Linked DNA regions of Callithrix jacchus. The protein of the gene in region 2 purifies or fractionates together with the protein of the main gene of each other region. This does not show direct contact. Links are inferred from orthologs where the notes say so. Each region holds a gene or a part of one and is shown on either strand. Other genes may lie near its edges. The genes, in order: EIF3B and EIF3E.

Evidence for each region.
Region 1: the proteins of EIF3E (region 2) and EIF3B purify together in Homo sapiens (affinity purification with mass spectrometry; 9 studies listed by BioGRID and IntAct, counting the BioPlex papers as one, with this or other methods). This does not show direct contact. The link is inferred for Callithrix jacchus from reciprocal best matches to the Homo sapiens genes EIF3E and EIF3B.

Annotation. Positions count from the first base shown.
Region 1 is NC_133503.1:56,680,754-56,696,270, forward strand, and holds the start of EIF3B (eukaryotic translation initiation factor 3 subunit B), read right to left. Parts: upstream 9,608-15,517; 5' UTR 9,540-9,607; coding exon 9,053-9,539; intron 5,090-9,052; coding exon 4,897-5,089; intron 3,532-4,896; coding exon 3,412-3,531; intron 3,100-3,411; coding exon 3,042-3,099; intron 2,539-3,041; coding exon 2,410-2,538; intron 1,834-2,409; coding exon 1,676-1,833; intron 1-1,675.
Region 2 is NC_133517.1:88,591,979-88,607,495, forward strand, and holds the start of EIF3E (eukaryotic translation initiation factor 3 subunit E), read left to right. Parts: upstream 1-7,381; 5' UTR 7,382-7,478; intron 7,479-11,607; exon of another isoform or gene 11,608-11,696; intron 11,697-15,517. UniProt on the Homo sapiens protein: Component of the eukaryotic translation initiation factor 3 (eIF-3) complex, which is required for several steps in the initiation of protein synthesis.

The DNA.
Region 1 (15,517 bases), on a different chromosome or scaffold from region 2:
TGCTGAGTGATCTAGAGGGAGATGCAGTGTGGAATTCTATCTTTTTTTTTTTTTGAGACAAAATCTCACTCTGTTGCTCAGGCTGGGGTGCAATGGCATGATCTCGGCTCACTTCAACCTCTACTCTTTGGGTTCAAGCAATTCTTGTGTCTTAGCCTCCTGAGTAGCTAGCATTATAAGTGCCTGATACCATGCTCAGCTAATTGTATTATTAGTAGAGATGGGGTTTCACCATGTTGGCCAGGCTGGTCTCAAACTCCTGAGCTCAGGTGATCCACCCGCCTTGGCCTCCCAAAGTGCTGGGATTACAGGCACGAGCCACTGTGCTTGGTCAGAATTATATCTTTACCAATGTTTAATTAAGACTAACAAGGTTAAAAAAAAAAATACAGCTGGGCACGGTGGCTCATTCCTGTAACCCCAACACTTTGGGAGGCCAAGGCAGGTGGATCACCTGAGGTCAGGAGTTCAAGACAAGCTTAACATGGTGAAACCCCATCTCTACCAAAAATAAAAAAATTAGCTGGGCATGGTGGCAGGCGCTTCTAATCCCAGCCATTTGGAAGGCTGAGGCCAGAGAATCACTTAGAACCTGGGAAGGGGAGGTTGCAGTGAGCTGAGATCACGCCATTACTCTCCAGCCTGGGCGACAAGAAAGAAACGCCATCTTAAAAAAAAAAAAAAAAAGTCCCATCCAGTTCAAAAGCCAGCATAAATCTGATGGGAAACTTTAGAGCCTAGAGGCTCCTCCCAGTCATTATTTACCTGACTGCTGGATTGTCTGGAGCTACTGCACCTGCTCACTCAGTTCACAGTGTTAACAGACAGTCCTTTACATCAGAGGGGAAGGCAGACACAACCCATGAGGGCAAAGCAGAACAGCCCCATCTCGCCCTCACATTGCCTTCCACAACCATGCCTTTCCCTAGCAGGGTTCAGACAACCAGATTAGCTAGATCAAAAACCCTGGCTTGGCCGGGTGCAGTGGCTCACACTTGTAATCCCAATGCTCTGGGAGGTCAAGGCAGGAGGAACACTTGAGCCCAGGGATTTGAGACTAGCCTATGCAACAAAGTGAGACCCACATCTCTACAAAAAAATAAAATTAGCTGTAAGTTGTGGCATGTGCCTGTGGTCCCTGTTACTCAGGAGGATGAGGTGGGAGAATCACTTGACCTTGGGAGGCTGAGGCTACCTACAATGGGCCTGCAATGGCACCGAGCCTAGGTGACAGAGCAAGGAAAATTTATTATCCGTAAAATATGTGACCTTAGACTAGATCCTGAAGGAAAGTAAATAATATACAGAACTATTAGGTCAAGTAACACAATTAGAATATGGCAATGCAATCAAATGTTAAAACAATGTTAAATCCCTGAAGTCAGTGCCTGTACTGTGGTCATGCTAACAAAATCCTATTTCTAGGAACACACATTCAGGGCTAGAGGGACATGTTACTTCAACTTACAAATGGCTCAGGAAAAGTATCTATACAGAGACAACAGAGGATGACGCAAAGGCAACCAAATGTGAGAAGATCTCAGTAAAGCACACCAGCATTCTCTGCACTCCTATCTTTCTACGTTTGAAATGCTACAAAATTAAAGACTACCTATAGAAGGCCGGCATGGGGTGAAAAGCATAAAACTCCACTGGTGTTTTTCTATCAGCTTACCTTTCACAAGGTGAGAAATCAATGAGCTGAACCCCTTGGTGGCTGAATCTCTGAATCTGCTTGAATTTCTCTCCCCCCCATAAAGCAATGCCTCTTTGATGAAAGGTAGCCAGGTAGGTGCCCTTAGGAGACCAACGCACATATGTCTCTGTCCATCTCTGCAGAAAAAGGCAGTGCAAAATATCAAACGTCAAGACCTTCCTACAGTAAATCTATTCTGCAAACGCTTTTTTTTTTTGAGACGGAGTTTCGCTCTTGTTACCCAAGCTGGAGTGCAATGGTGCGATCTCGGCTCACCGCAACCTCCGCCTCCTGGGTTCAGGCAATTCTCCTGTCTTAGCCTCCTGAATAGCTGGGATTACAGGCACGCGCCACCATGCCCAGCTAATTTTTTGTATTTTTAGTAGAGACGGGGTTTCACCATGTTGACCAGGATGGTCTCAATCTGTTGACCTCGTGACACACCCGCCTCGGCCTCCCAAAGTGCTGGGATTACAGGCTTGAGCCACCACGCCCGGCCTTCTGCAAACTCATAACTGAAATACACAAAGCCTGTTCACTTCTTAGGATCTACTTCAAAGCTGGAAGAGGAATAAAATAAGTTGTTTTCATAAAGTAATCTCAAAGAAAATAAAACCTCATCTGCTCTTTCAGTTTTCTAATGGAAACAAAGTTCCACTTTGTTAAGGAAAGAGGGGAGGTGAGTCCCACCCCCAGTGGCAGCAAATACACACCGCTCTTTCTTCAATTGAGACAGGGTCTTTCACGTCATTCCAGAATATGGAAGTGCGGTCTCCACTCTCAAAAATCACACTATACTGATCTCTGCATTCTGCCTCTTCAAGCCAGTAACGTAAATTACCCTTATATATTAAAAAAAAAAAAGAAGGCAAGGAATAACATTTCATTAATTAAAAAAAAAAACTTATTCACAACTATTGCTCTTAAAGACATGACAAATTCAGTCCACACTTCAACTCCCAAGTCACACCTTAACCTCAAGTCAAGACAACATCCAGCATTTCTTTTTTCCTTTTTTGAGACAGGGTCTTACTCTGTTGCCCAGGCTGGAGCCCAGTGGCACAATCATAGCTCATTGTGGCATCATCCTCCCAGGCTCAAGTGATCCTCCCACCTCGGCCTCCCAAGTGGTTGGGAATATAGGTGCATGCCAGGCCCAGCTAATTTATGTACTTACTTTTTGTAAAGAGGGGGTCTCACTTTGTTGCCCAGGCTGGTCTTGAATTCCTAGAACTCAGGGATCCCCCTACCTTAGCCTCCCTAAGTGCTAGGGTTATAGGTGTGAGCCACCGCGCCCCAGCAACACTTCTTTAAACCACTGAGATGCAGGTTTCAGGCCACTCACCAGGTCTTTGAAAGGCTGTTTCTCTGGAATATCCCACTCATCACTGATGGTCATATACCTAGAGGAGAAAGGAGACTGTCGAACCCCATGCTCTGATGACTGGAAAGAGCACCAGGGGTCCAGCATGGCCCTACTGCACTTCTGCCTGCCCACCCCCAGGGCTGTGACTGGCATAATGGGGAGGGGTGCTACGGGCCAGGAGCTTGGGGCAGGGCTATGAAATGGCACTGTGGCCCTGCGGAAGCCTGACCAGAAAGGCTGTTAACAATCTGACAGGCACCAACGCCCACTGAGAAGCACCAAACCACCCAGACACGGCCGGTCGCTTGCCCATCAACGTCCACTGCCTCATGACCAAACCTGAACTTACTTGTCAAAATCCGTGAAAAGGTTAACCCGGAACGTGTGCTGCTTGTCCAGTTTATAGCCGTCAGCGTTCTTCACAGCATCCATAGCATGGGCAGGGGACGCATACTCCAGGAAAATATACCTGAGTGAAAGAGGGCCGTTCATACACACGCACACCATAAGGCTGGGCAGGTATGCACTGTCTACCCCACCCCTCTCCATGGACAAGCCCTCTGTACCAGGAGTTATCTGTGCTGTTCTTCCTGCCTTGAGCCTAAGGCAGTCACACAGAGGACAGACCCACAGCCAAGGAGCTCCCTAAATGAGAGGGAAACCTAACCAGAAGATTCAAGTCTCTAGTTTTATGATTATAAATTATAGAAAAGCTAATCAAAACATCCATGACTGTGGCAATGGTTTCATTAAGTGTAGACATCAAAATCTATTAAACTGTATACTTTAAAACTATGCAGATTTATTATGTATCGATTATCTCAATAAAGCTGTTTTTTAAAAGAACTTGTGGCCAGCGCTGTGGCTCATGTTTGGGAGGCTGAGGTGGGCAGATCACTTGAGCTCAGGAGATCCAGACCAGACTGGGCAACACGGCAAAACTCCCTCTCTACTAAAAAATACAAAAATTAGCCAGGCGTGATGGCACGTGCCTGTAAGCCCAGCTACTTGGGAGGCTAGGGCAGGAGAATTACTTGAACCTGGGAGGCAGAGATTGCAGTAAGCTGATATCACACCACTGAGCTCCAGCCTGGGCAACAGAGTGAGACTCTGTTTCAAAAATAAACAAAATCTTAAAAATAGCCTAATATTGTGTATTATAGGCAACATTACAAAGGACCTCAGAGCACTTTTCATTGTAACATGAGTAACCGAGGGTCAAGAGGCTACCCTTCAACTGACTGCCCAACATAAAAACACTGTAGCATTACCTACATTTGATAATTTTTCTAGAAACTAAAACTATTCTAGTTAGTTTTTACTTTACGTCATTTATTTGAGAGACAGAGTTTTGTTCTGTCACTCAAGCTGGAGTGCAGCTACATAATCATAGCTCACTGCAGCCTCAAACTCCTGGCCTTAGTCTTTAAGAGTGTTGGGAGTTTAGGTGTAAGCCACCATGCTGGCCTATTCTAGGTAATTTTAAAACTTTTTATTTATTTATTTATTTATTTATTTTTAAAAGACGGGGGTTTCACCATGTTGGTCAGGCTGGTCTTGAACTCCCGATCTCAGGTGATCCGCCTTCCTTGGCTTCCAAAGTGCTTGGATTACAGGCGTGAGCCACCATGCCTGGCCAATTTTAAAAACTTTAAAACCTTAACTTAAAAAAACAAACTTTATCATCTTCTCATTCACTGCTTTCGAGAGCTTCCCGCTGAGGGCAGCCTAAAAAAGAGAATGGCCCACGTGCCTGGGCGAGGCAACAGTTCAACACTCCTTCATCACGACGTGCCAGACACAGATGAGACTTCTCTCACAGGCGAACACTCACCCTTTTGTCTTCCCATCCTCTTCAGGATAAAAATCATTTGTGATTTTCCCAAACTTGGAAAAGATCTTGTGGATGACATTTTTGAGTTTCTCAAGTCGGTCAGGTCCCACCTGAGGGACATTGTCCACTACAATCACCGAATCGATTCCATCTGCTTCCTGGGGTCGATCTTTGAGTACATCTCCTAGTAATTCTGCGAAACAGAGATTTGTCAAATGACCACTTTTACCAGGAAAAACATTAACACATTAAGCACACTGAACAAATATCCAGAAAGTGACAATGAATCATCTAAATGCTGTTGCTGTGAGCAAAAGAAACCCCAACCCTAGCTTGTTTCAGAATTTAAATGTGAGAAGTAGGGAGACTGGGACTCCTCTCTCTCCCTTTGATGGAAATGTCAACAGTCAAGGTATGTCAGTTAAGTTCTGGCAATAACCAAAGACCAGAAGACAGTTAACAATAAAAAGCTTTTAACAATGCAAAATGCAAATGAAGAAGAAAATCTAAAGAATATCCAATATTAGATCTTTCAGAGATCCCTAGATTTTGAAAGGTTTCTAGCAACATCTAGGCAGAACCCTATCCCAATGTCAATGAAAACTGACTTTTACAGAAGATTTTAGCAAACAAGTAAATATTTAAATGCTCGATATATTCGCAGCACATTTGTGCTGTGAATTCAAACTACTAGAAATTATTCAAGGAGGAAAACTTCTCTTGAGTGAATTGGGATGAAAATAGTAACTCTTCTCCCACCTCCTGTTCCCAGTTATTTTCATGTTTTCAGGCAGAGAACTGGATAGCCATTCACAAGGGGATCAGGAAAAAAAACAAACAGGGAAGGCACCTGGGTGAACTTCCCGACCGGCCCACCACCAGGCACCTTCGTCCAAAACCCCTTATCCAACATTCCCTATGTTAAAAATCTCGAAGGATCAACACAGGAGATAGGGATGGAGCAAAGTGTTTTTCCTACTCACATGCCACTCAACACATTTCTGACACCAGATGTGGGTCCATATCAAGCAGTTCTCCAGGGGCTACCAGCTGGGTGTCCTCCAACTTAACCCAATTCAGACACTATCTACCAGGAATTAGCATCAGATCCCACAGGCTGAAGGTTCAGTCCCAAAGAAGGGTCCCCATTTCAGATGGCAATTGTAAGTAGTGGGCTGTCATCTCCAGTTCTGACCGAAAGCCTCCAAAGCAGGGTTCCCACTATTCCCCACTTCTTGGGTTGCTACAACAGCTTACAGAATTCAGGGAGCTAGGTTTGCCAGCTTATTATAACAGAAGTTATAGAGAACACAAAGAAGTAGATGGAAGAAAAGCGAAGGGGCTCCCTGTGCTTTCTAGGCATGCCACCCCGAAGGAGCCTCCACCTGTTCAGCTATGTGGTGCCCCCTGAACCCAGTCCTTCTGGCTTTCATTACACAGGTGTGATTACTGACATCACTGAGCACTAGTGATCAACTCGACTTTCAGCCCTCTTCCTTCTGAGGAGCAGAGGGACACCTAAAAGTCAATTAAATGTCCTGAAAGCCTGATCTGAATTTACAAGGCTTGCAATAAAAGGCTCAGCTTTTACACAAACTGTATACTCCTTTCCCACAAGCTCAAAGCATCTAGACTAGAAGAACCTGCCCACACCTAGGAAGGAAATATATGAAGTAACTACACCATGAAGACACATCGCCTTGATCACTCTCAGCCGAAGCACCAGTTACACACAGTTCACGGATTCCCAATCTGTCTCCAGGAAAAATAGAAGGGAACAATTCTCAACACTAAATAGCAAATAGAAAGAGAAAAAATAGTTCATGAGCCAAAAAAGACACTTACGAGTTAAAATCTTGATCACATATTTGTTTCACCAAACACCAAAAGCAGCTGAAACATTAACCTGAAAGGATGATTACAGATTGGGATGCTAATCTATACCAAAAACCTAAAAGCGGCAAGACAAGGACTCCAGGCCATCTCTGGTCTGCTCCCTGGAAGACCTGACCCCTTCCGGAAAGAACTGGTAGTCATATACTGTCTTGCACACTGACCCTGAAGGGCAGCTCTTCTCATAAACAAAAAACCTACCTGAGTTACCAACCACAACCAAGGGGACCATGACAAATGCTGACTTGCTGAGCCTGAGTTCCCCAGGACCAGATGCCTCACCTGTCACTCTGGCCACTGCACCTTCAGGATGACCCACAGTCATCACCCAGCCCAGCCAACCTTGGCTTTTCCCAATTCCAGAAAGAATTCACATATTAGAAATTTGTGAATTTGATAGACTCAAATAATGCTTTAAAAAAACAACTCAGGCTGGGCGTGGTGGCTCACGCCTATAATCCCAGCACTTTGGGAGGCCACGGCCAGAGGATCATGAGGTCAGGCGTTCAAGACCAGCCTGGCCAACATGGTGAAACCCTGTCTCTATTTAAAAAACAAGCCAACAAACAAACAACAACAAAAACTCAGCAGAATATCCAAGGGCTCAAAACAATCACTAAACCAAAAGTTTTAATTTCAAAATCTAAAAAAATCGAAGTGTTACAAAGAACAATATTCTGAGCAGGAAAGTCTGGGGGACCCCAAGCAGTGCTGACCCACCAGGAATTCTCAGCAGCCTACTCCACCTCCAGGGACACGTTTCCTCAGGAGCAAAGGACTTAGACTAGATGCTCCCAAGGTCTTCTTTGTGGTGTCCTTCCTGCTTTTCATGCAAATATTTAGTCTTTTATGAAAAAAAGTGCAACATAATAATGGTCACAGTAACTGACAGCCTTTTTATTCTTTAATGTTTCACTTTTTGAGACAGGGTCTCACTCTGTCACCCAGGCTGGAGTACAGTAATGAAATCTTGGCTCACTGAAACCTCAGCCTCCTGGGTTCAAATGATTCTCCTGCCTCAGCCTTCGAAGTACCTGAGACTACAGGTGTGCACCACCACATCTGGCTAATTTTTATATTTTTGATAGCCTTTTAAAAATACATTTAAACTGGCCAAGGCCGGCAAATCACGAGGTCGGGAGTTCAAGACCAGCCTGGCCAATTTGGTGAAACCTCCAATCTCTACTAAAATACAAAAATTAGCTGGGCATGGCGGCGCACACCTGTTAGTCCCAGTTATTCAGGAGGCTGAGGCAGCAGAATTGCTTGAACCCGGGAGCAGAGGCTGCAGTGAGCCGAGATCATGCCCCTGCACTCCAGCCTGGGTGACAGAGCAAAACTCCGTCTCCAAAAAATTAAAAAACATTTAAATTATAAGTTGGCCACTCTATGTTGTTCCCTAAATTGCCTTAGTGTATCACCGGCTGTGTCATCAAGAGTATTTTTATTTTTCTCACTCTAGTATTAACTTAGCCAATAGACAGGCTAATGTGTTCCCAACTTAAAGACTTAAGACGGCTAAAATAAAGCAAAAACAAATGCGATCAGCTCTCATCAGAAGTCACTTTAGGAGAGGAGCACCTTCAGGCAGGAAGCAGAAATATGCCTGTAAATCCAATCAAGGTAGAGATGAAAGCAAAGCAGGCTGTTATCAACAACATTAAAACCTAGAAAAATAATTCGCCTTATAGGTTTACCGTGGGGGAGGGGGCATAAAGGAAAACCAAACTGGAATTTGACAGGGGCTGCCTGTCCCACTAGGGAAGTCTTTGGAGGTGGACAATTCTGCGGGGCAGGAAGACAAAATCACTGGCTCTGCCACAACCTGTTACTACGATCCCTACCTTGGAAAGTCTGACGGGTCAGCTCTGGGGACACGCAGACCCGCAAGCTTGACACCGGGTTCTCGGTTTTTGCTGTACCCTCAGCAGCGACACTCACGGCACCGGCACACCCAGTCATAACGGAGTCCCCCTGGAGCCCTCTCCCACTCTCACAGATTTCTGACTGTCTCACAAATGCCTAGCTTCCAAAGGGGACTCCATCTAGCCCCCTTTTCTACAAAAAGGGAGATGCTGGGCTCTCAGAACACCTCCAGGGCGGGCACTCGGGAACCTCCTCCATGGTGGCTTCTCGGGAACACACGGATACCCTCGCTGGAACTTCTGCACGAAACGGTGGCACAGCCCGACGACGTCTCCCACCTCAGGAACCCTAGACACGCTCCTGCGCCGCTCGCCGGCTCCACCCCGAGGGCCCTCACCTTCCTCGCTCACGTCGTCCACGAAATCCTCGGGGTCGCTGAAAGAGGGCTCGTCCGCGTCGCCGTTCTCCAGCGCCCGGGGCTCGGCCTCGGCCGCGCTGCCCTCGTTTCCTCCAGCGTCCTCGGACGCCGCCTGGGCCCGGCTGTCAGTGCGCTCGTCCCGGGCCTGTTTCCCCCGGGCCTCGCCCTGTGCCGGGGTTCGGGGCTCGGCATGCGACCCGGGCGGCTCCTCGGCGACCAACCGCGAAGGCGACTCGGATGGGCCGGAGGCCGCCTCCGCCTCGGTCCTCACCTCCGGCTCCGGTCCGGCCTCGGCGGCCGCCACCTCCTCACTGACGGCCTCGGTCCCCGCCGCCTCCGGAGCGCCAGGCCCCCCGGGCCGCAGCAGTCCCACGTCTGGCGGCGGCTCGGCGGCCGGCTGCTGCTGGCCGGGCTCGGCGCGCTCCTCGGCCGCCTCAGGCACCGCCACGTTCTCCGCGTCCTGCATGGGCCCAACGCTGCCTCCCCGCAGGGCTCCGCGGCCACCACGCTTCCGACTCTCCCAGGCCGCACCGCGCGCCGCGCCGGCTACAGCGCAGCCATGTGCGTGAGATCGGGAAGCCACACGAAGGCCAGGGGCGCACCCACGCCTTGGGACCTCACGACGAGACGAAGAGGACTTACATTCGCAGGACCGCGTCCGAAAGTCACCGAACTGACATTTTTGTGACAAGAAAATGCTTAATCCTATTTGTCAAGGTTGTTTCTATTCATCAGTAAACTCATGGGAGCATTGAACACCCCGTGTGTGGCAGGGGATGGTTCCGTCCAACATGGCGGCCGCCCCCTTTCCTCTCCCGTCAGGCGCTGCGGGTCGAGGCTGAACTATTTGTAGCGCCGAAAGCGGGGACCAAAAATCATTTTAATATGAGGAATGCTATGAAAATGTCCTCTAACTCAACAGTTAATACCATAGAAAAGTGGAGGCTCAAAAGGCGATTGTTCCGGGCGTTTCAGCCTTTTGCTAGGCAAACCGTTTAGCTTACATTATGAATGTCCCCCTGTCCGTGCTGGTCACTTGAACTCGTCTACTGACTGGGCAAAAGGATGGACAACTCTAAAATAGAAAAGGAATTCAAGGCGAGCCAGAGGCGGCCCACGCGACTAGAAGGACGACTACCTGGCGCGATACAAAAATGTATCCGAGTTGCTTTAATCGCTTACCCCTAATTCTTCCCTAACGGCCGTCACCGCCTGCTTCCCCGCCTTCGGGCGTTTACAGTGGTTCGATCCACCTAGCCCATCCCCCTCCGCGCGGGAGAGCGCGGGTCACGTGGGGGCGGGGGCGGGTCTTCGCCGCATAGGGTGATAGGCAGACGCAGGGAGGACCGGAAAGGTTAGGTCTCCGCTGGTGCTCGCGGAACGGATATTGGGTGTTTCCGTCTCCTAGCTTGCTTTTTGCCGGGGTGGAGGACAACTACTCGTGGGATGTCTTCGTCATACTAGAAAAGAACGCGGTGGGCCGGGCGCGGTGGCCACGCCTGTAATCCCAGCACTTTGTGAGGCCGAGGCGGGTGGATCACGAGGTCAACAGATTGAGACCATCCTGGTCAACATGGTGAAACCCCGTCTCTACTAAAAATACAAAAAATTAGCTGGGCATGGTGGCGCGTGCCTGTAATCCCAGCTACCCAGGAGGCTGAGGCAGGAGAATTGCCTGAACCCAGGAGGCGGAGGTTGCGGTGAGCCGAGATCGCGCCATTGCACTCCAGCCTGGGTAACAAGAGCGAAACTCCGTCTCAAAAGAAAAGAAAAGAACGCGGTGGCTCACGCCTGTGATCTCAGCACTTTGGGAGGTTGAGGTAGGAGGATCTCTTGAGCTTGGGAGTTCGAGACCAGCCTGGCCAACGCAGCCTCCCCCCGCCCTCCAGCCCTCGTCTCTACCAAAATTAAATCAATAAAACAGGTGGTACCTGCTGGGGAGGAAAGTAGGGAGTGTTTAATGGGGACAGACCTTCAATTTGGGAGGATGAGAACGTTTTGGAGATGACGGTAGTGATGGTTGCACAACCTGGTGAATGTTCTTGATGCCACTGAACTGTGTACTAAACTGCATATTAAAATAACTAGGCCCTGCGCGGTAGCTCAAGCCTGTTTTTCCAATAGTTTGGGAGGCCCAGGTGGGAGGATCACTTGAGTCCAGGAGTTAAAAACCAGCCTGGGCAACATAGTGGGACCCTGTCTCGCAAAAATAAAAAATGCTAAAACGGTAAATTTTATGTATATTTCATCATATAGTTTTTTCTTTGTTTTCAGAGACAGGGCTCACTCTGTTGCCCAGGCTAGGGTGAAGTGGCATAATCACAGCTCCACTGCAGCCCTGACCTCCCAGCCTCAAGAGAATCCTCCCATCTCGGCCTCCCTAAGTGCCAGCATTAAGGTGAATCACCTCGAAGGGCCTAGCCATTTTAATATGCAGTTCATACGCAGTTCAGTGGCATTAAATGACATTCCCAAATACCTGGGACTGAAGGTGTGTGCCACCACGCCCAGCTAATTTCTTTATTGTTTATTTTTGTAGATGGCATCTCACTAAGTTACCTAGGCTGGTCTCAAACTCTTGGCCTCAAGCAATCCTCCTGCCTCAGCTTTCCAAAGTGCTAGGATTATAGGTATGAGCCACCATACCCGTTGTGTTCTGATGGTGTTTAAAAGAGCAAAAAAGAAGCAGTGTCTTCCCCATGTCTAGTACTAGGTTTGACTCCTCCTCATCATGCTGCCAGCTGTGTAACTTTGGGCAGGTTACTTAATGCCTCTGTCTCAGTTTCTCCATCTGTATAGTAAGGGATAACACATTTTTTAAACAGAGATGGGATCTTGGCTGGGCACGGTGGCTCCCACCTGTAATCCCAGCACTTTGGGAGACCAAGGCAGGTGGATCACCTGAGGTCTGGAGTTCGAGATCAGCCTGGCCAAGATAGTAAAACCTCATCTCTACTAAAAATACAAAAATTAGCCCAGTGTGGTGGCATGCGCCAGCTACTCAGGAGGCTGAGGCAGAGAATTGCTTGAACCCAGGAGGTGGAGGTTGCAGTGAGCTGAGATCCTGCCACTGCACTCCAGTCTGGGCAACAGAGCGAGACTCTGGCTTTAAAAAAAAAAAAAGAGATGGTGTCTCACTATGGTGCCCAGGTGTCACCTGGACTCCTGGGCTCAAGCAGTCATCCCACCTCAGCCTCCCAAAGTGCTAGGATTTCAGGCATGAGCCACCACACCCAGCCAGGTGGCTGGATGACACATTTTAGTGTGTGGCTGGTAGGACAGTTCCACAAAGGCAAACTAGGTTTCACCTCCAGACCAAATTATCCTCCCAATTTCTAGTTTCCGCTGCAGCTTTTCTTAGATCATCAGGCTCTGCCAACTCTTTTCTTCTAGAAAATGCTAAAAGGTAGCAAGTCAGTGAATAAGAAGCAAATACTAACCAAAGAGCTTGAAAACAGCTGATTTTAGCTTGGCAACTGCATATTTCTTAGACAAGGAAAACTCTTCTATGGCAGGCATGCATTGCACAGAGGAGGCACTCTTCACTTTGCTGGGGAATGGACTTCCTTAGCCTTTTTTTTTTGTTGAGACGGCATCTCCGTCTGTCACCAGTCTGGAGTGCAGAGTGCAGTGGTGTGATCTTGGCTCACTGTAACCTCCGCCTCCAGAGTAGCTGGGACTATAGGTGTCCACCACAACACCCAGCTAATTTTTGTATTTTCAGTAGAGATGGAGTTTCACCATGTTGGCTGGGCCGGTCTTGATCTCTTGACCTTGTATTCCACCTAGCTCAGCCTCAAAGTACTGGGATTACAGGTGTGAGGCCACCATATTATCCAGCCATCTTTTTTTTTTCTCTTTTTTTTTGGAGGTAAAGAGTTTTATTCTTGTTGCCCAGGCTGCAGTGCAGTGGTGCGAACTTGGCTCACTGAAACCTCCGCCTCCCAGGTTCAAGTGATTCTCTTGCCTTAGCCTCCAGAGTAGCTGGGATTATGGGTGCCTGCCACCACACCCGGCTAATTTTTGTATTATTAGTAGAGATGGGGTTCATTTTGGCCAGGCTGTTCTCAAACTGCTGACCTCAAGTAATCTAACTGGCTCAGCCTCCCAAAGTGCTGGGATTACAGATGTCAGCCACTGTGTCCAGCCTTTCCTAGCCTTTTCTACAGATAAAACTGTGCAGAAAATATATCTAAGAAGTGCTGCCGTTGATACTCAAAATTATGTGAGTGCCTACTTTGTGGTAGGCACTCTGGTGGGGGTACAGAGGTGAGTAAACCGTGTATGTTTACATCGTTTACATGAACCTGTCTATAAGGGGTTCATAAATGACATTCCTGCTTTTAGAAGGTGATGGCAAATTCTGCTCCCCCAAGTGTGGGAGAACTTAAGGCATGGTGCAGTGGTTCACACCTGTAATTCTTATACTTTGAGAGGCCAAGCTGGGAGGACTGCTTGAGCCCAGGAGTTCAACCAGCCTGGCCAACGAGGCGAAGCCGCCTTTCTACTAAAAATACAAAAATTAGCCAGGTGTGGTGGCATGCACCTCTAGTCCCAGCTACTCAAGAGTCTGAGGAGAGTCACTCGAACCTGGGAGGCAGAGGTTGCAGTGAGCCAAGATGGTACCACTGCATTCCAGCCTGGGCGACACAGCAAGACTCTGTCTCAAAAACAAAACAAAATTATAAAAATAAGAAATTAGCTGGGCCTGGTGATGGCTCTTGTAGTCCCATCTACTCTGGAGGCTGAGGTGGGAGAATCACTTGAGCCCAGGAGCGCAGTGGGGTGATCTCTGCTCACTGCAACCTCTGCCTTCCAGGTTCAAGCAGTTCTGCCTCAGCTTCCTGAGTAGCTGGGATTACAGGTGCCCGCCACTACGCCCAGCTAATTTTTCTGTCTGGTAGAGATGAGGTTTTGCCATGTTGGCCAGGCTGGTCTTGAACTCCTGACCTCAGGTGATCTCCCACCTCTGCCTTCCAAAGTACTGAGATTACAGGTGTGAACCACCACGCCTGGCAGTATGTTACTTACTTACATGTGCAAGCTTACAATGAAGTGTATAGATTAGGCATAGTAAGAGATGGCTGGGTACGATTAGGCATAGTAAGAGATGGCTGGGTACGATGGCTCACACCTGTAATCTCAGCACTTTCAGAGGCTGAGGTGGGTGGATCACGAGGTCTAGAGATCAAGACCATCCTGGCTAACACAGTGAAACCCCGTCTCCACTAAAAATACAAAAACTTAGCTGGGCATGGTGGCATGCACCTGTAGTCCCAGCTAGTCAGGAGGCTAAGGCAAGAGAATCTTGAACCCAGGAGGTGGAGGTTCCAGTGAGCCGAGATCACCCCACTACACTCCAGCCTGAGCGACAGAGTGAGACTCTGTCTCAAAAAAAAGAGATTAACAGCAATAACTAACAGAACAATTATAACAATATACTGTAATAAAAGTTATGTGAATGTGGTGTCTGGTGGTGTCTCCCTCTCAAAATTCTTAGCCATGTAATATTTTCCAACCGTAATTGACCATGGGTAACTGAAATAGTGGAAACTGGGGATCCGCGCTACTGTGTTTGGAAACAGTCTTCACAGATGTAATCAAGATGAAGTCAAGCTGGACAAGGGTGGACCCTAAGTCAGTGACCGATGTCCTTATTAGAAGAGGGAAATTGGTGGGTGACTCATGCCTGTAATCCCAGCACTTTGGGAGGCCAAGGCGGGCAGATCACGAGGTCAGGAGATCGAGACCAGCCTGGCCAACATGGAGAAACTTCATCTCTACTAAAAATACAATAAATTAGCTGGGCATAGTGGCAGCACCGGTAATCCCGGCTACTCAGGAGGCAGAGGCAGGAGAATCACTTGAACCAGGAGGCAGAGATTGAAGTGAGCTGAGATCACGCCACTGCACTCCAGTCTGGCAACAGAGCAAGACTCCCGTTAAAAAAAAAAAAAAGGCCAGGTGCGGTGGCTCATGCCTATAATCCCAGCACTTTGGGAGGCCGAGGCAGGTGGATCACGAGGTCAAGAGATTGAGACCATCCTGGTCAACATGGTGAAACCCCGTCTCTACTAAAAATACAAAAATTAGCTGGCCATGGTGGCGTGCGCCTGTAGTCCCAGCTACTCAGGAGGCTGAGGCAGAAGAATTGAATCCAGGAGGCGGAGGTTGCAGTGAGTCGAGATCATGCCATTGCATTCCAACCTGGGTAACAAGAGTGAAACTCCGTCTCAAAAAAAAAGCAGAGGGAAATTATGGCCAGGCATGGTGGCTCACACCTGTAATCCCAGCACTTTGGGAGGTCGAGGCAGATGCATTGAGGACAGGAGTTTGAGACCAGCCTGAATAACATAGTAAAACCCCATCTATACTAAAAATACAATAATTAGCTGGACATGGTGGCAGACGCCTGTAATCCCAGCTACTCAGGAAGCTGAGGCA
Region 2 (15,517 bases):
TCCTGCAAAAGGCCCACTCCTCAAAGCCAAGGTCATTTTATTACATACTATGTTAAGTAAGCTGCTCACTGCTTGTTTGTACATTTTATTAACTACTATACAACCCTGTGAGATGAGATAAAGGTCAAAGGTTAAAAGAGTGGTCATGATTGCTCTGTTTATTCCTTCCATGAGAATTTGCACGAAGTGCCACTGCAGTGAGGTGGCTTCTGAAAGACAGAAAAATATACTTACTATTTAATTCTGCTGATTTCTTTAGTCCAAAATTACTTCCACCAATTCTATATCTTTTCCGCTTCACCATTTACATAAACTAATATATTCTTTTAAAAGGTTGATAACTACGGGATAATAAATTTTAAATTATTTGTAATCCCATAAAAGTGTCTAGTCAGATTGGCTGCAGGCTGTTGTGAACAGCTATTCTAAAAGAAAAGGCCACCTGATTTGAAAAAGAAAAGGGGTTATTTATTTTAATGCACATAGAGCTCTAGCAGAAGTATTTTTCAAACTGTGTATTATAATCCATTAGCAGGGTATAAGATCAATTTAGTGGATTTCTTCCAGCATCTGTCCAGGGGATGAGGGGGAACGAAACAGAATGAACAGAATGGAATGCAATACTCATACTAAGAATACTTTGTAATTGAAACTTTGGTTTCAGTTTATACATATACTCAAAGATTCATGTATATGTATAAGTATATGAGTTAATGTGTAAAAGGTATTTCTTATTGTGGAAAAACACGCTTGTAGGAAAGAGAACACTTTTTTTTTTTTTGAGACGGAGTTTCCCTCTTGTTACCCAGGCTGGAGTGCAATGGCGCGATCTTGGCTCACCACAATCTCCGCCTCCTGGGTTCAGGCAATTCTTCTGCCTCAGCCTCCCGAGTAGCTGGGATTACAGGCATGCACCACCATGCCCAGCTAATTTTTTGTATTTTAGTAGAGATGGGGTTTCACCATGTTGACCAGGATGGTCTGGATCTCTTGACCTCGTGATCCACCCGCCTCGGCCTCCCACAGTGCTGGGATTGAGAACACTTTTTTAAAGCGTAACTTGCAAGAACGACTGTCTGACACACAGTCGAAAACATATTAAAATATAATAGCTGAACACAAAACAAGAAATGCTGTTTGTGTATGAAAATACAACTTTTATAAAACAAGTGACATTTTACCTATAAACACCTTAAGCTATACACCTTACATAGCTGACCCTGCCATACTCTGAATGCTGTTGTAATAAATACATCTGTAACACTATTAGTCACATACTATTTTCAGAAATGATTTAAATAATTCATATAAAAAATTGTTAGTAAAAATAAAATTGTCTTGAAGAAAACATGTATTCACCTTTGATAACTCATTATCTCAAAATCACAGCATCCGAAAATCAAGTCATCTTCATTTCCTAAAAATATGGCTTCCCTTCCCAATGTTCACATTTCTGTTAATTCCACCTTCTGTTAAAACTACCTGACATTCCACTTTTGAGTGCTGTTTCTGACTCTCTACTTTGGTTATCTAAGTCCTGTGGACTCCTTAAAAATTTCTAAGATTTATATCTTCTACTCTATTTCCACTGCTATTATCCATGTCCAGGTTTTCATCACCCCGTGCTAAAATTGCTAGGATAGCTTCCAAACTGGTCTCAACCCAATTCAATCTGTAAATTACTACCAGATATTTCTAAAAATTTACTTCATTACAATTTAAATTCTTAAGATACCCAATAATTCCTATCTTCTTTGAAGCAGTATAGTGTATAACTGGAACTATAGATTTTGGAGTTCTTTATTATTCAACTAATATTTACGAAATGCCTACTAAGTGCCAGGCCTGATCTGTGCATTGAGAATAAAGAAAGAAAGAAAAAGATAAAGTTCCTATAGTCAATATGGTTAGAGTCTAATAGGATAAAAAGAGGAAAATTCACATAACTTCAAATAGTGAAGTTCTAAAAAGAAAACAAAAGCACCATATGATAAAGTCAAGAGATTGGGAGAAAAAAGGAGCTTTTGGAGAGGGTGGTCAGAGAAGGCTTCTCTAAGAAAGTCATTTTCAAGCTAAGAGAAGAATGAGAAGGCACCAACCATAAACAGCAAATCTAAGTTCTAGAGAAAGAAACTAATTTGGCACGTTCGAAGAATGACAGAATGGCAGCCTAGATGGATGAACATAGTTAATAACTCAGTGGAGGAGAGCTGTATAAAAGCAGCTCAAATCACAGCACTCCCCAAATCATACTAGCTGTGGGATATCTGACAAGCCATTTCATCTCTCATTTGTTTCCTCATCTATAAAACAGAAATGAAGCCTATCTCATAAGACACACGTGAGGATTAAAAGAGATAACATATACAAAATGTTTCAGATTATTTTCATCATTATTATTACCATTACTGCATACACTAGTGGATCCAAGTTCAAAAACTTTGTGAGTTCAAGCTTTGTGTTCTAGCATTCACTCATGGAAAAAACAAGCATTTACTGAGAGCTTGTTTTCTGACTCTTACCACTATGGCTGGTCAACAGAAGGACTGAGAAGATCTCCAGGTGTAAAGAATGCAAACAAGTAATTAAAATATGATGGAGAGATTAATGAGGTTCAGTAAAAATTCTCTTAATCATCCTCCAGTTAGAATCAACTCAAAGAAATGCTTCTGTAAAACATAATGATGCCCACCAAGATTTTAGAAGCTCTTGGCTAGCTCTTGGTTGTCCCAAACAGTTATTACATTTTAAAAATTTAGCTACTTGTATCCAAACCAGTTCATGCCAGTTAAATTTAACGTAGTATAATGAAATATTATAAGGCAAAGAAAACTTGAGTGCAAAAAGAGACTGGTTTCTAAGAAACAAAGTTAGATGCTGTGAAAAGACTCTATAAAAACAAATAGCTCTGAAAAACTATCACATTAAATATGGGGATTTAATTTAAATATTATGAGAAAAATAATGGAAATATAAAAGACTTGTGCACTGAAGCTTCTATATTAGGGACTTTATGTTCCTGCTCCATGTTAAAGAAAGCAAAACAAAAATGGTTTATTAAACATGAAAAGGAATTTCAATCAGGGGACCTCTACCGAAGAAAAGCCCTGTTCTATATCAACCTGCAAAAGTTTAATGAAAGGTGCCATTGATGTTAGTTCTAAGTCAGGAACTAGGCTCCCATCTACATACAAAAAAGAAGTCTGAACTCCTTAGTCTAGCATTTTAAGGCTCCAACCTATCTTTCTAGCTTTTACCTTTCATAAGAGACTTTTGCAAAGCATATACTTTATTCTCATACATATCTGTACTTTCCAGACTTTGAAGTCTCATAGATCTGTATCTTAAAAGGTGACCAGAAGTTGTTTTATGAATGAGGGGAGATATATGGTGCTATCTACTTTTCCACGGAAAATGCAGAAAAGAATAAGTGGTGACAGTGGCGGTGTTGGAGGCAGAAGGAAGATGAAGGCAGAAGGAAAATGCAGAAAAGAGTAAGTCGTGACAGCAGTGGTGCTGGAGACATAAGGCAGAAGGCAGTTTTGAGTTTTATTAATTGTGAAATAACCATTACATGTGCCTTGTAGAACACTGGAAATATGGATCTTCAGTTTAGAAGTGAAATTTCAGGATGTGTTCCTTGAAATCTGGACCTTGCCTGCCTTACTTGGCACTATATCCTCAAGAACTAGAACAGTGCCTGGTGCACAGTACTCAAATATATGTTTAATTAAGGTGTTATTTAGTATACAGGCTAACGGATAGGTAAAGCTGGATGTGGATAAGATTGCTCACTGATGTCATTTAATCTATTTTAGGTATCTTCAAAACTAATGAGTACTTTGTACCATCTTTTCCCAGAAATATGCATGTTTACACAAGTACTAAATTTTGCACAATTTCATCAGACCACATGGTATTTAATGCTTGCATCAATTTAAAATCTATTGATCTCAAACTTAAAAACCAACAATAACATATTAAGAGGACAACTAAGAAACAGTGAAAACACCAAAAAATGAGCAAATGGATGTAGAGAACTCAACAGAGGAAAGGTCCGAAAAGAAAGAAGAAAACAAGAAGAATGTTATTAAGAAAGCAAAGAAAGATTTTCACAGAGGGAGTGATCTACAATAGCAAAAGTAGTAGAAGTACACAAAACACGTATGTTAGAGTTGGCATTAGGTCTCCTAGAGATCTTAGCGGAGTGGTAGGCCATAGAAACCAAATTGAGGTTGTTTGAAGGACTGAATGAAAAGAGAGGGAGTAGGGCAGTGAACATAAACAACTAAAATGTTCTCAAACATTTCTCACACATTATTTTTTCAACAAATACTCATTTAATGCCGATTATATGCCTGGCATTGTGCTAGGCATCCTATCCATGTCCTGCCCAAATAGCTCAAGAAACTTGACTATACTCTCTAAATTATCCTTTCCACCTCCAAATGTCTAATAACTTCCCTATGTAATAAGCATCAATCACTTTCAATTGGCTAAAGAAACAAACCAAATAATCTACTCTATTAGTAGTCTAACAAAGATGTGGAAGTGTTAAACTTACTGCATAGGTCTTTTATAAACAAGTGAGAAATTTTCCTATCACAAGAATTACAGTATTCTGAACTAACCAATTCATGACACTGTTCAGTGGAATTCCTAAGGACACACCTCTGACACACCCCCCCCCCGAAAAAAATCTAAACAAAACACTATCTTAAGAATCTTCCCATCACCCTCCTACATCCTAAAATTTTGTTACCATAACTCTCTGAAATAAAACTCTAGAATACTCTTTTCTTAAAAGTCACTTAAAATAGAATTTTAATTCTGGAAAGGTCTAAACCTTTATTTTACTAGTGAGCAAACTGTATCCTATTAGTTAAGCAAGTTGCCTAACTGTAGTATCTTTAAGATACTAAAGAAATTATTTCAATGCTAGAAAAATGGTTTGTAATCTTTTTTGACAATGTGTGTTTATTATTAATCCCATTAACAATTCATTTAGTCAACAAATAATTACTAAGCTCCACCCCCATGCATCAGGCTCTAGGAAAGTGACAGTGAACAAACAGGCCTGGTCCCTCTCATCCTAGGAAAGACCAAATTTTAAAACATAACACAATTGGTTCAATGCTTTAATAGTATGAGAATAGAATACATAATCGAAGGGTCACAGGTAGGTTTTGTTGTTTGATTTTGTTGTTTGGGTTTTTTCTTTTTCCAATTTTGTTGGGGGATGGGTAAAGGGAAGGGGGCAGTAGATGAGTCTAGTAGGCTTTTTTTTGTAGTAGGTGAGCTTTGTGGGGAACTGATAAATGATAAACTTTAATGGGGACAAGAATGAGGCAAGGAGGGAAGAACATTCCCAGTGGAAGGACTAGCATGTGCCAGCTTTCAGAAGCAGCATGGCAATTTAGGGTATTCATCAAAGGCCAGCATAGGCAGCTCACAGAGTGAGAGGGACAATGGCTCAAGATAAAGCTGGAGACATGGGTAATGTCCAGATCATAGAGAGGAGGGACATAATCAAATCAGTACTAGCTAATAATAACACATCCTTTTACATAGTACTTTAACAGTTTACAAAGCACTTTAAAATGTTTTCTCTTCCGTTCCTACAAACTTGTGTGGTAGCTATTATTTATTATTCCAAAATAATTACATCAATCCTCTTCAGAATTCTCACAGGGTAAGTTTAAGGTCCAAGTTACTCAGTTAAATCACCTTGTCTGTTGGTAGTACATAACTACTAGTCCCTCAAGATTTTATATATGCTACTAACATCTAGGAAAGCTATACTAAACATACCTTCATGATTGTACTTTCTAAAAATTATGTACTTAAAACATTTTTTAAAAGCATTAAAAGTAACAGCCATTTATCCATCATCCAGCTTACGGAATATACGCTGAAAATAGCCATTTATCCATCATCCAGCTTACGGAATATACGCTGACACAAGTCTTTTAAAACTATGTGTTTATAGCTTTTCTCCATAGATTGTGAATTCCATGAAAGTAGGGACTGTGTGTTGATAGATCCAAGATTTTGCACTAAGAAATTAACACTGTTGTTTAATACAATGGAATCCCTCAATTCAGGTAGAAATACTGAGGTTCATAATATGCTAGAGGCCACAAAGCCAATAAATAATTTAACCCAGTTCAAGTACAAAGGAATTTTGCTTTATTTCTTAAGAGTTTACAACTTTATAATACCTGATAAATTTATTCACGATAAAACCGAAAAAATAACTTTCAGTACACATATTTTCAGGTCATTATTAAAGCATCCCACAAAAGCATTTGCTGAACAAATTAGCTATGGAAGTCTCCTGTATTATGCTAAATGCTGGGAATATGAATTCCAATCACACAGATTCCATGCCTTAACGAAACTCAAGTTTCTTAAGCACACAGAATTGATCCAAGGTTTGGCTGTTTCCAGATTTAAAGAACATATCCCACTCTAGATCGACTAATAGGTAAAAATGTCCATCACACATGAGCACGTACATGGCCCAGAATTAATAAATTATTTTTCCCTTCAGAAAAAAAAAAAATTGCTAGTAGGGAGTACGAAGGAAGTTGTGCTGTGTGTGCAAATGTGTTTTGAAAAGGAGTGGGACAGAGACTAGCCTGAAAGGAAAAGAAACTGGAAAACCGGGTTTAAGGAGAAAACTAAATGTAGAGTGGCATATGAGAATCACAGTTGTTAAAGCATCTTCTACAACAGCTTTTCTGCACAGAGCTGTAATCCTTACATAGCACTTAGTAAAAGGCCTTACAGACCCTGTGTTTCTCGACGCCAAAGAAGCTTCAGTAACCACGTATTCCGCTTCCTCCGCACCGCCCAGCAACCACAGTTAGTGTGTGACAACCCTAGCCCCAAGTCCCTTCCGCCTCATAAATGGAAGCGGCCCTGGCCGCTGGACTGGCGCAGAGGAGGGCAGGTGAACCGATGAGACGACACTGTGGGAAACGCCATAGAGTACGCGCTCAGGCCAAGGAAGGGGTCAGCCTCAGCCTCCACCTCAGCTTGGCCCGTCCAGTGAGAGATGTGGTATCAAAAAAAGACCAGAAACCCCAGCTCCCCGAAGGCAGCGGGTAGTCCCAAACGGCTTCCTAGCACTTAAAAGCGCTGGTAACTTCCGCACCCGCCCCCATCCGAAGTTACCTTCCCAAGTGACATCGTAAAGCTCTGAGACCTTCGCCATCTTCCCAAGAACCTAGAGGCAGCGGGGTGAGAGGGCGGGGAGCCGCAGTCACGTGACTCGCGACCGGGCAGGGGCGATTTACGTAACTGGTTCTCATTGGCCAAGAGAGCAGAGGGGCGGTATTCGCTACGCACGTGCACGCAGCTCTGCGGAGGGGCTTTCGGGGAAGGGGGCGGAGCGAGCTGGGTGGTGCGCCGCGGTCCCGGAATCTGAGGCTTCTTTGGGTGCTGGCGGGGCGGAGGTGCTGACTCTGGGTGAGGTGTGTGTTTTTGTATTTGTTTTGCCGTGGATTTTTTTTAACAAATGCTGGGTTTTTAGTGTCCGCCAATCCTAGCTTTTCATTTTTTTCTGCCTAGGCGTGTTCATTCTCTTCACACTCCCCAATCAACAATTTATTCTCTTCAGGGCTGGCCGTGGTGCAGTCTTTTGCACGAATCCTTTACTAATCGCCAACTTTCCTCCTTCTTTAATGGGATTTGCTTTCCGTTCACTTTTTAATCGACTAAACGGATACTCTAAAGTTTTTATTAAATCTCTTCGAGGGACTAAGTGGGATTCTTTGCGCTTTGAAGTTCCCTTGAATACCCTTGGGCTAGCCTGTACCCTTCGTTTACGCTTGTCGTGCCTGTCATTGCTTCATCCATGTCTGCATGCCACACTAGGTTTGAAACTGTAGCGAGTATGTAAGTACTTACAAGAAATGAATGTACGAATAAGACCTTTACAGTTCCTGAACTTCGCTCCTCTTTTCTCCTGGTGGGTGGATGGGGGAGCCTCCTTTCCCACCAGACTAATTGCTTTTAGGGACCTTTGGACGTCGTCTCCTAGAGCTAAGGAGAAATGTCTGGACAGTAAGCAAAATATTTGAAGATGATAAGCATATATTTAGTATTTGGAGCAATGAGAACCTGAGATTGTAGAGGAGGAATATGTAAGCTGAGGAAAGACTAAAAATCACTGCAATGCCGCCATAGTTATGGGTCAGTGAAGAAGGGGCAGTAAAGGTTGAGAAGTAGAAATAATCCTATCCCACAAGTCAAAACAGTGGAGGGGTTTTATTCCCAGCTTTATTGAGGTATAATGGACAGAAATTGTGTATATTTAAGGTATAGGAAGTAATGATTAGATGTAAATATATATTGTGAAATGATTACCACAACCAAGCTAATCAACACATCCATCACCGTACCTGTTTCCCGTGTGTATGTGTTGAGAATACTTAATCTCTCAGCAAACTTCAAAGTATACAATACAAAATTATTATAGTCACTATAATGTACATTTGATCTCCAGAACATATTCACCTTACAACCAAAAGTTTGTACCCTTTGACCAACATCTCTCCATTCCTCTCCTCTCAGCTCCTGTCAACCACAGAGGGTTTTTTTGTTTGTTTAAAAAAAGAAAAGCAATAACCGTCAGGCCATCTATTCCAGAGAAGTCACGTAATGACAGAAAAGACTAGTGAAGTTTTATACTTGGATTGAATTCTGAGTGAGCTGGCATTCTTTCTAAACAGACTTAAAAAATCTTTCATTCAGGAAGTTAAAAAATGCTCCACCCAGAAATTCACGTATTCTAATTCTTCAATAAAGCAACATGGTGCAATGGGAAGAAAGAGAACTCCCAGATCTGATTCCAGGTTCTACCTTTTAGTAGCTGGGTGACTTTCAGCTTGTATGTCTCTCTCAGCATCAAAGAGGCTTATATGTGAAAAGCTAATAATATCTGTTGAAAAAGAAAATAGCTACCTTGAGTTGTTCATCAACATGAAAGCAGATACTGCAGCTAAAACCCCTGCGTGGCACTCTCATGGAGGTACCCTCCTGTATCTAGAAACACTGTTTATGTGCTAATCAGTCCCAAATTGATCAATCTTCTCAAAACCCACTCTGCTTGCTTGACATACTTGCTTAGATGGCTAGTTGATATGCATCTCAAAGTTAACATAGCCCGCACAGAACTCTGGATTCCTGCTGTCACCTTCTGCATTCCCACCTTGCTTTTCCCCATCATAGGTAAGGAAACCATTTACCTACTTGCACAAGTTAAAATTATAGGAAGTACCTTTGATTCCTTTTTTTGACACCCCCCCATATCCAGTCTATCAGCAAATTCTACATTGCACTTCATCTGCTTTTCATTTCTATTGCTGTTACCTTAATCTAAGCCACAACTTGTCTCTTCTGAATGATTGTGATAGTCTCCTAACCACCTTGGTTTCATTCTTGCTATGTAAAATCAGTTTTTTTATACAACAACGCTACTGGTCTTAAAAGAAAAATCAGACTACAGAAGTCCCTTGCTGATAGGCCTCAAATGGCTCCCCATGGCAATAAAAATATACTTCAAACACTTTACCATGGTTTAAAAGGCTTTACTCAGCCAGGTGACATTCATCTACCTCTTACCTCATCTCCTACTATTCTGTCTCTCCTTTCTAGCCCCCAGCCATTCTCATCTACTTACTAGTCCTCAAACAGGCCAAGCCCCTATCTGTCTTGTATCTGGCATTTGCCCACCTGCTTCCTTTTCCTAGAATGCTCTTCTCCACATCTTTTAGTGACCATCTTCCTTTCACCATTCATATCTCAGTTTTAAATGTATCCACTCATAGCCCTTTTTTGACCATCCAATAAAAAGTAGCTCTTATATAATGCCTATTCATCTTCATGACATTTATCACTATTTGATTTCTTGTATGTTTACTTGCTTACTTTCCGTATTTTACACCACTTTAAGCTGCTTTGGAGTACCAACTTTATTATTTTAACCTTGGAATATCCATGCTAGGAAAATACCTGAAACAGTAAAAATGTTTGTTGAATGAATGAATTAGATTAAAAATGACAGCTTGTATTAATATTTATTAAGGATAACATTTCTTAATAGTATACATATGAACTCTTGTTTAGTTAAGCATAGGATGTTTTCTTTTTATAGCTAATACTTTCCTAAAACTTATAAATTCAGTGAATTCAGGGACCATGCCAATTTTTTTTTTTTTTTTTTTTTCGGGTAGGCCCTGCCAGGGTGCCCCGGGTGGGACTACTCTGTGCCAGCTCCTCCCCCGGGTGCCCAGAGTCCACCAATTCATTTTTATATCAGCCGTTACTACAATACATTGCATACAAGAGCCACTTAATATTTTCATGAAATTATTGATGCTTAACATTTTTTTGGTTTGTTTGAGGGGACTAAAGCCTCTAGGAAGTCCCAAGTATGTATTTTTTAAAGCCTTGCAATGGATTTTAAAGACTATAACTAATTGAGGAAATAAATATTTTCTAATCACTTCAAGTAAATATTCCATAGCTAGCTACTATTGTCTGTCAAGCAATAAGCTATATGACACTGGGTTAAAAGTCATCATTTTCAGAATTTCTAAGTTGGAAAATAGAGTAATCTCATTTTTTAGTTAGAATGGGCTGATGATTCTTGAGAACAATATTTTTCAAACTTCTCTTGCCTACTACTCATACTAAGGAATATTTTTAATATTGTCACACAGTATGTGTACACATATTTAAAGCTGAAACATAGTATACAAACTAGTTTTGTCATGTGCCTTGTCTTTTGCATTTTCTATTCAAAATGTGTCAGTTACAGTGTATTTTCTGAAACTACTGGTGTGACATGATAATGAGGTCATGACTCATAGTTTAAAAAACATCCATGGATCTTGTATGTATTTCCTAACCTGAGGCCCTAATTTGAAATGATTTGCCCAAGTTTCTGCCACTAGTAGGTAAAAAAGATAGACGATTCATATGTAATTAGTTGTTTCGATCATAGATGAGAGATAAAATACTAATGAAAAAAATATATCTAGGAGAAATTTTATCACCAACAGTACAGTGAAGTAGGGAAAATGATTGCTTATAGATTATAACATAAGATGTCTAATAAAACTTGCCTTCCTCAGGCACACGTAAGAAAAAACTGGTATGAGAGTGACAAGAATTCTATATTCTTCTTTAACATTGTGTAACATGCAATTATAACTAAATGAAAATAGAAATACCTTCCATAGATAAAACTAATACTGAAAGCATAAATATCAATCTTACCTTCTGTAACTCTAACTTTACAAGATGTCTGCAAAGTTTTGCCTCTTACCCTCTCCCTCATTGGGAAAATTTTCATTCAAATATGTTTAAAATATTTAATCTAGTTTTTCTGATTGCACATTGGCAAAATTGGTGACAAATACCAAGGAAATGTCCAGGCAGCCAAATAATAGATTATATTAGCCTCCACATTATGAATAAGATGTGTCAGACACCACGGGCAGCATTATCTCACTTAATGATCTCAATAGCACAATGAAAATGTCTGTAATTGTTTTTATGTGAAACTAAATTGTGATTTGGCTTTTTTCCTACAAGATTAGGTTTCAAGAGTTGGAATGACAACAAATCAGAATGAACTAGAGTGAGACCAGAAAAACTTTGAATAAGCCCACATTTTCTTTGAGGTAGGTTATAAGCCAAATTAGTCCACAGAGCACTTTAGGGTACACATCTCTTTTATGGTTTACTTAATTCAGTTAATATCTTCAGACATAGTGGAGGACTAAAGCAACCTCTTAAATTTAATAAACTCTATGGCATTCATACAGTATACATTATTTCACAGGATATAAGCCAAATTAGTACACAGAGAACTTTAAAGTACATTTCTTTTATAGTTTACTTAATTCAATTAATATATTCAGATATTGTGAAGGACTAAAGTACCTTTTAAATTTAATAAACTCTATGGCATTTATATAATGTATATTATTTCACAGGATGAAACATACCATTCTAATTGATTTTACAATATTCAGCATCTTCATCAAACCATTTATTTAGAATATTCTGTCTACTTTTTCCTGGTCTTAATCATAGTCAATTAATGTCCCACATTATGTAACACAGCTTGTAACTCCTATTTACTATGACATTTATTTATCAGAGTAAATTGGTCTCACTACAACTCTCATATAAAATTTACCAAATCTTTTAAATTATATTGTTTCTAATTAGTGGATTATAACCATAATCCATTTTTATTTAACTGGAAATATTATTCATTCCATATCACCAGAAAGTAATCTTCATTTCATGGCACCAGACTTTCATTGTGACACATCTTGTTCAGAAGGAAATTTTCCTTAGCATTTTATTTACCAAGCGCCAGGTTAATGTAGAATTGTTTTAGGAATCTACTGAACGTTGTTTTAATTACATTTTTAAAAGATTGTACAATTAATTTGTTTACCCCCAAATCAGTACACACTCCCCGCTTTGCAGGCACAATTGTAGCATTTAGGCATGTCTGTTTTTTTTAAAGTTTGTTGTCATTTCCAATACACATGTTTTTAAATGTGCCAGCCATCATTTCATACCCAGTTATATTATTTTAGAAAGGAAAAGGGAGTCTCTGGGAAACATTTCTAGTGAGATCGCTTTGGTCCTTCTATAGCAGATTTTGCAAACTGATTATTACGCCCTGTGCCGAAGTTATAACAGTGAAAAGGAAAGTACATCCAGAAAGAGTACACCCAGAATTCCCTCACATGGGCAATAAATTAGAGCTGTTTCTTTCTGAGATTTATAACCATACTTGAGAGTCCACTTTTTCAAATGATATTTATTTAATTTCCCCAAAGTGCATATTCTATTCTGATACACACACACATCTGTGTAAATGTACTCCTTATGCAAAAATGTATTTTTGTAAACATCTCTTTGGGTTACCAAATATCCAGGACTCCCTAAATACTATTAATGTAAACTGTTGGTCCCTGAAGACCATCTAGACTCTACTTTCTACAGCAGGACTATAATGGAATCCTTTACTTGAAAAAACATTCAAAAAGGTGTTTATTTACAATAAATAAATTACATTATGGGAAACTCATGCAAAGATAAACTGAATGTCACATTATACATGTTAGTTTACTATTAATATAATTTTTACTTTTGAGTAGTCCCTCTCTTTGGTAGTTTGGTAGCATTACTCTAATTACAAGTGGCTGCATCATTCATTCAGACCTGTAGTTCTCAGATATCTTATCCTGGCCACCAGGCCAGAATGCCATTTTCTTTACTGGTCATCTTTTACTGTGGTCATGCTGACCACTCTGCTAAAATTGGCTTAAAGGCCAACAGCCACATTGAGCATAATGTGGTCATGTCCTGTTTTAGATCATAAATCACATGCTCTCTTGTACATAAGAGGGCCGATTTGGTCTACCCCATGGTTTTATTTGGGAAAAAGACTAGTTTCCTGGCAGAATGTCTGACAAAACTGCCCACCCCGAATCCATTCTGTCGGACCTATGCATCATCTTCTCACTCCTAAGGAAACAGCATGATCTCTATTTTTAAAAATTTAAGATAAAATTGTTTATCTTAAAACTATGAAGTAAGGAACAATACAGATGTGCTTCAAAAGCTACCACTTAAATTACTGCCACCTCTAGAAAATCTTTGAGCAATAAAATATTTTCATTTTATTCAGGAATAAAATATTTCATTTCCTTCTGTTCGTTATGTTTCTTTTACACATTTCCCTTGAATCTTTAAATAATGAACTTGAACATGTATCCAGTGTGGATGGGGGTGTGATGTGGGGGTGCTTTCAGTTGTTAAAAGTGGATTGGAAGAAAGATTGGTCAGAAAGAGCCATAGACCGTGATTTAGATCTGATAAAGTATCAGCCAACTCAGTGAGAAGCTTCTGAGCAAAGATTGCCCATTAGAGGACACCCACAATGGGCAGAAATTGCCAGGCCTCATGTAGTGACATGCTCAGTTATTCTCTGGGGACTACACAGAAGGGCATAGCCTCAGCTCAAAAGCTGTGATTAATCTGGAAGATTTTACTAGCTGGAGGCTGTCAACTTCCTGTACTATTTCAGCAAATTCTTTTTTGAAGGGCGATTCAAACAGTGTACCTCATGTCTGCCACAGTAGCCATTATTATTATTTTTCCATTCTGGCTATGCACAACCTCAACACTATTGGGTAAAGAATTATTGATGAGAGGTAGGGGTCTGTGTTCTTCAGAAGTCACTAGTGAGTTGACATATGGAAATTACATTTTGACTGCACAGAATATCTTTATTATATTATAAATAGTTCAGCAATGGTTGCCTTGTGTTAAAGAAAAGACGTGGTAGAATACATATAATCCACAGAGGCTTGTTTTTTTGAGACATAAATCAGGAATCATTCATTCTTTTCATGGGTGGAGACTAATAGAACTACCATTGGTAAATTACCTAGAACTTCATATTTCTTCCTCATTTTTTCACTCAGCTGCCAAATATCTCAAAGTAATTTAGAATTTTAAACATGTCACTCCAAGAATAATAGTAAAACTCTGAAAAAGGGCAGCATTTCTAAAATTCTAGAATTCAAGCTCTTCATGAAATACTAGAAAATTCCAAAGACACTGCACTCAGAATGCCCCTAGATAATTTAGTGGCTAGCTGCCATACTATCATTGATGGTTGCTTCTTATTAAACTTAAGGATAAATTTTATCAGTATTTTCCAACAGATAATTGATTGCAGGTGTGAAATATGAATGCTGAGTAAATATTCAGCCCCTCAATGTCATCTTGCTATTCTCTCATCCAAATATCAAGGCAGCCTTAATTAGCATCTGCTGTGCTACACAGATGCTCTTCTGGGAAGGTAATTAATAGTGGTCCATACTCTGGACTGCCAGAAGGAATGATATAATGAAATCAGTACCTAATGGGAGAAGGCAGAGTGCTTCTCAGACTTCACATGACTAGTAAAGTTGAGTTTCAAAAAGAAGGATTGTCTGTTTTTAAAATTTTAGCAACAGAAGAGGACTACTGATTGTCTCTTTTAAAGAATTAAAGCAACAGAAGAAAACTTTGGCAGTTCTTTTCAGGGAGCAGTTACATGGGACACAGTAGTTATATATCTCAGTTCACAAGCTCAGGTGTGCAAGAACAAAATTTGCACTTTAATAAAACAAAAGTTTTTCAACATCTGTTTTAGAATCATGGGTACATATGCAGGTTTGTTACATAGGTTTGAAGTACAAATGAATCTGACCACCATGTGGTAAGCATAATATCCAAAAGGTAGTTTGGGTTTGTGTGTGTGTGTGTGTGTGTGTGTGTGTGTGTGTGGTGTTGAGACAAGGTCTCACTGTCACCCAGGCTGGAGTGCAGTGTCACGATCAAGACTCACTGTAGCCTCCACCTCCTGGGTATGAGCTCAAGCTTAATCCTCCAGCCTTATACCCTCCCCACCCAGTAGCTGAGACTA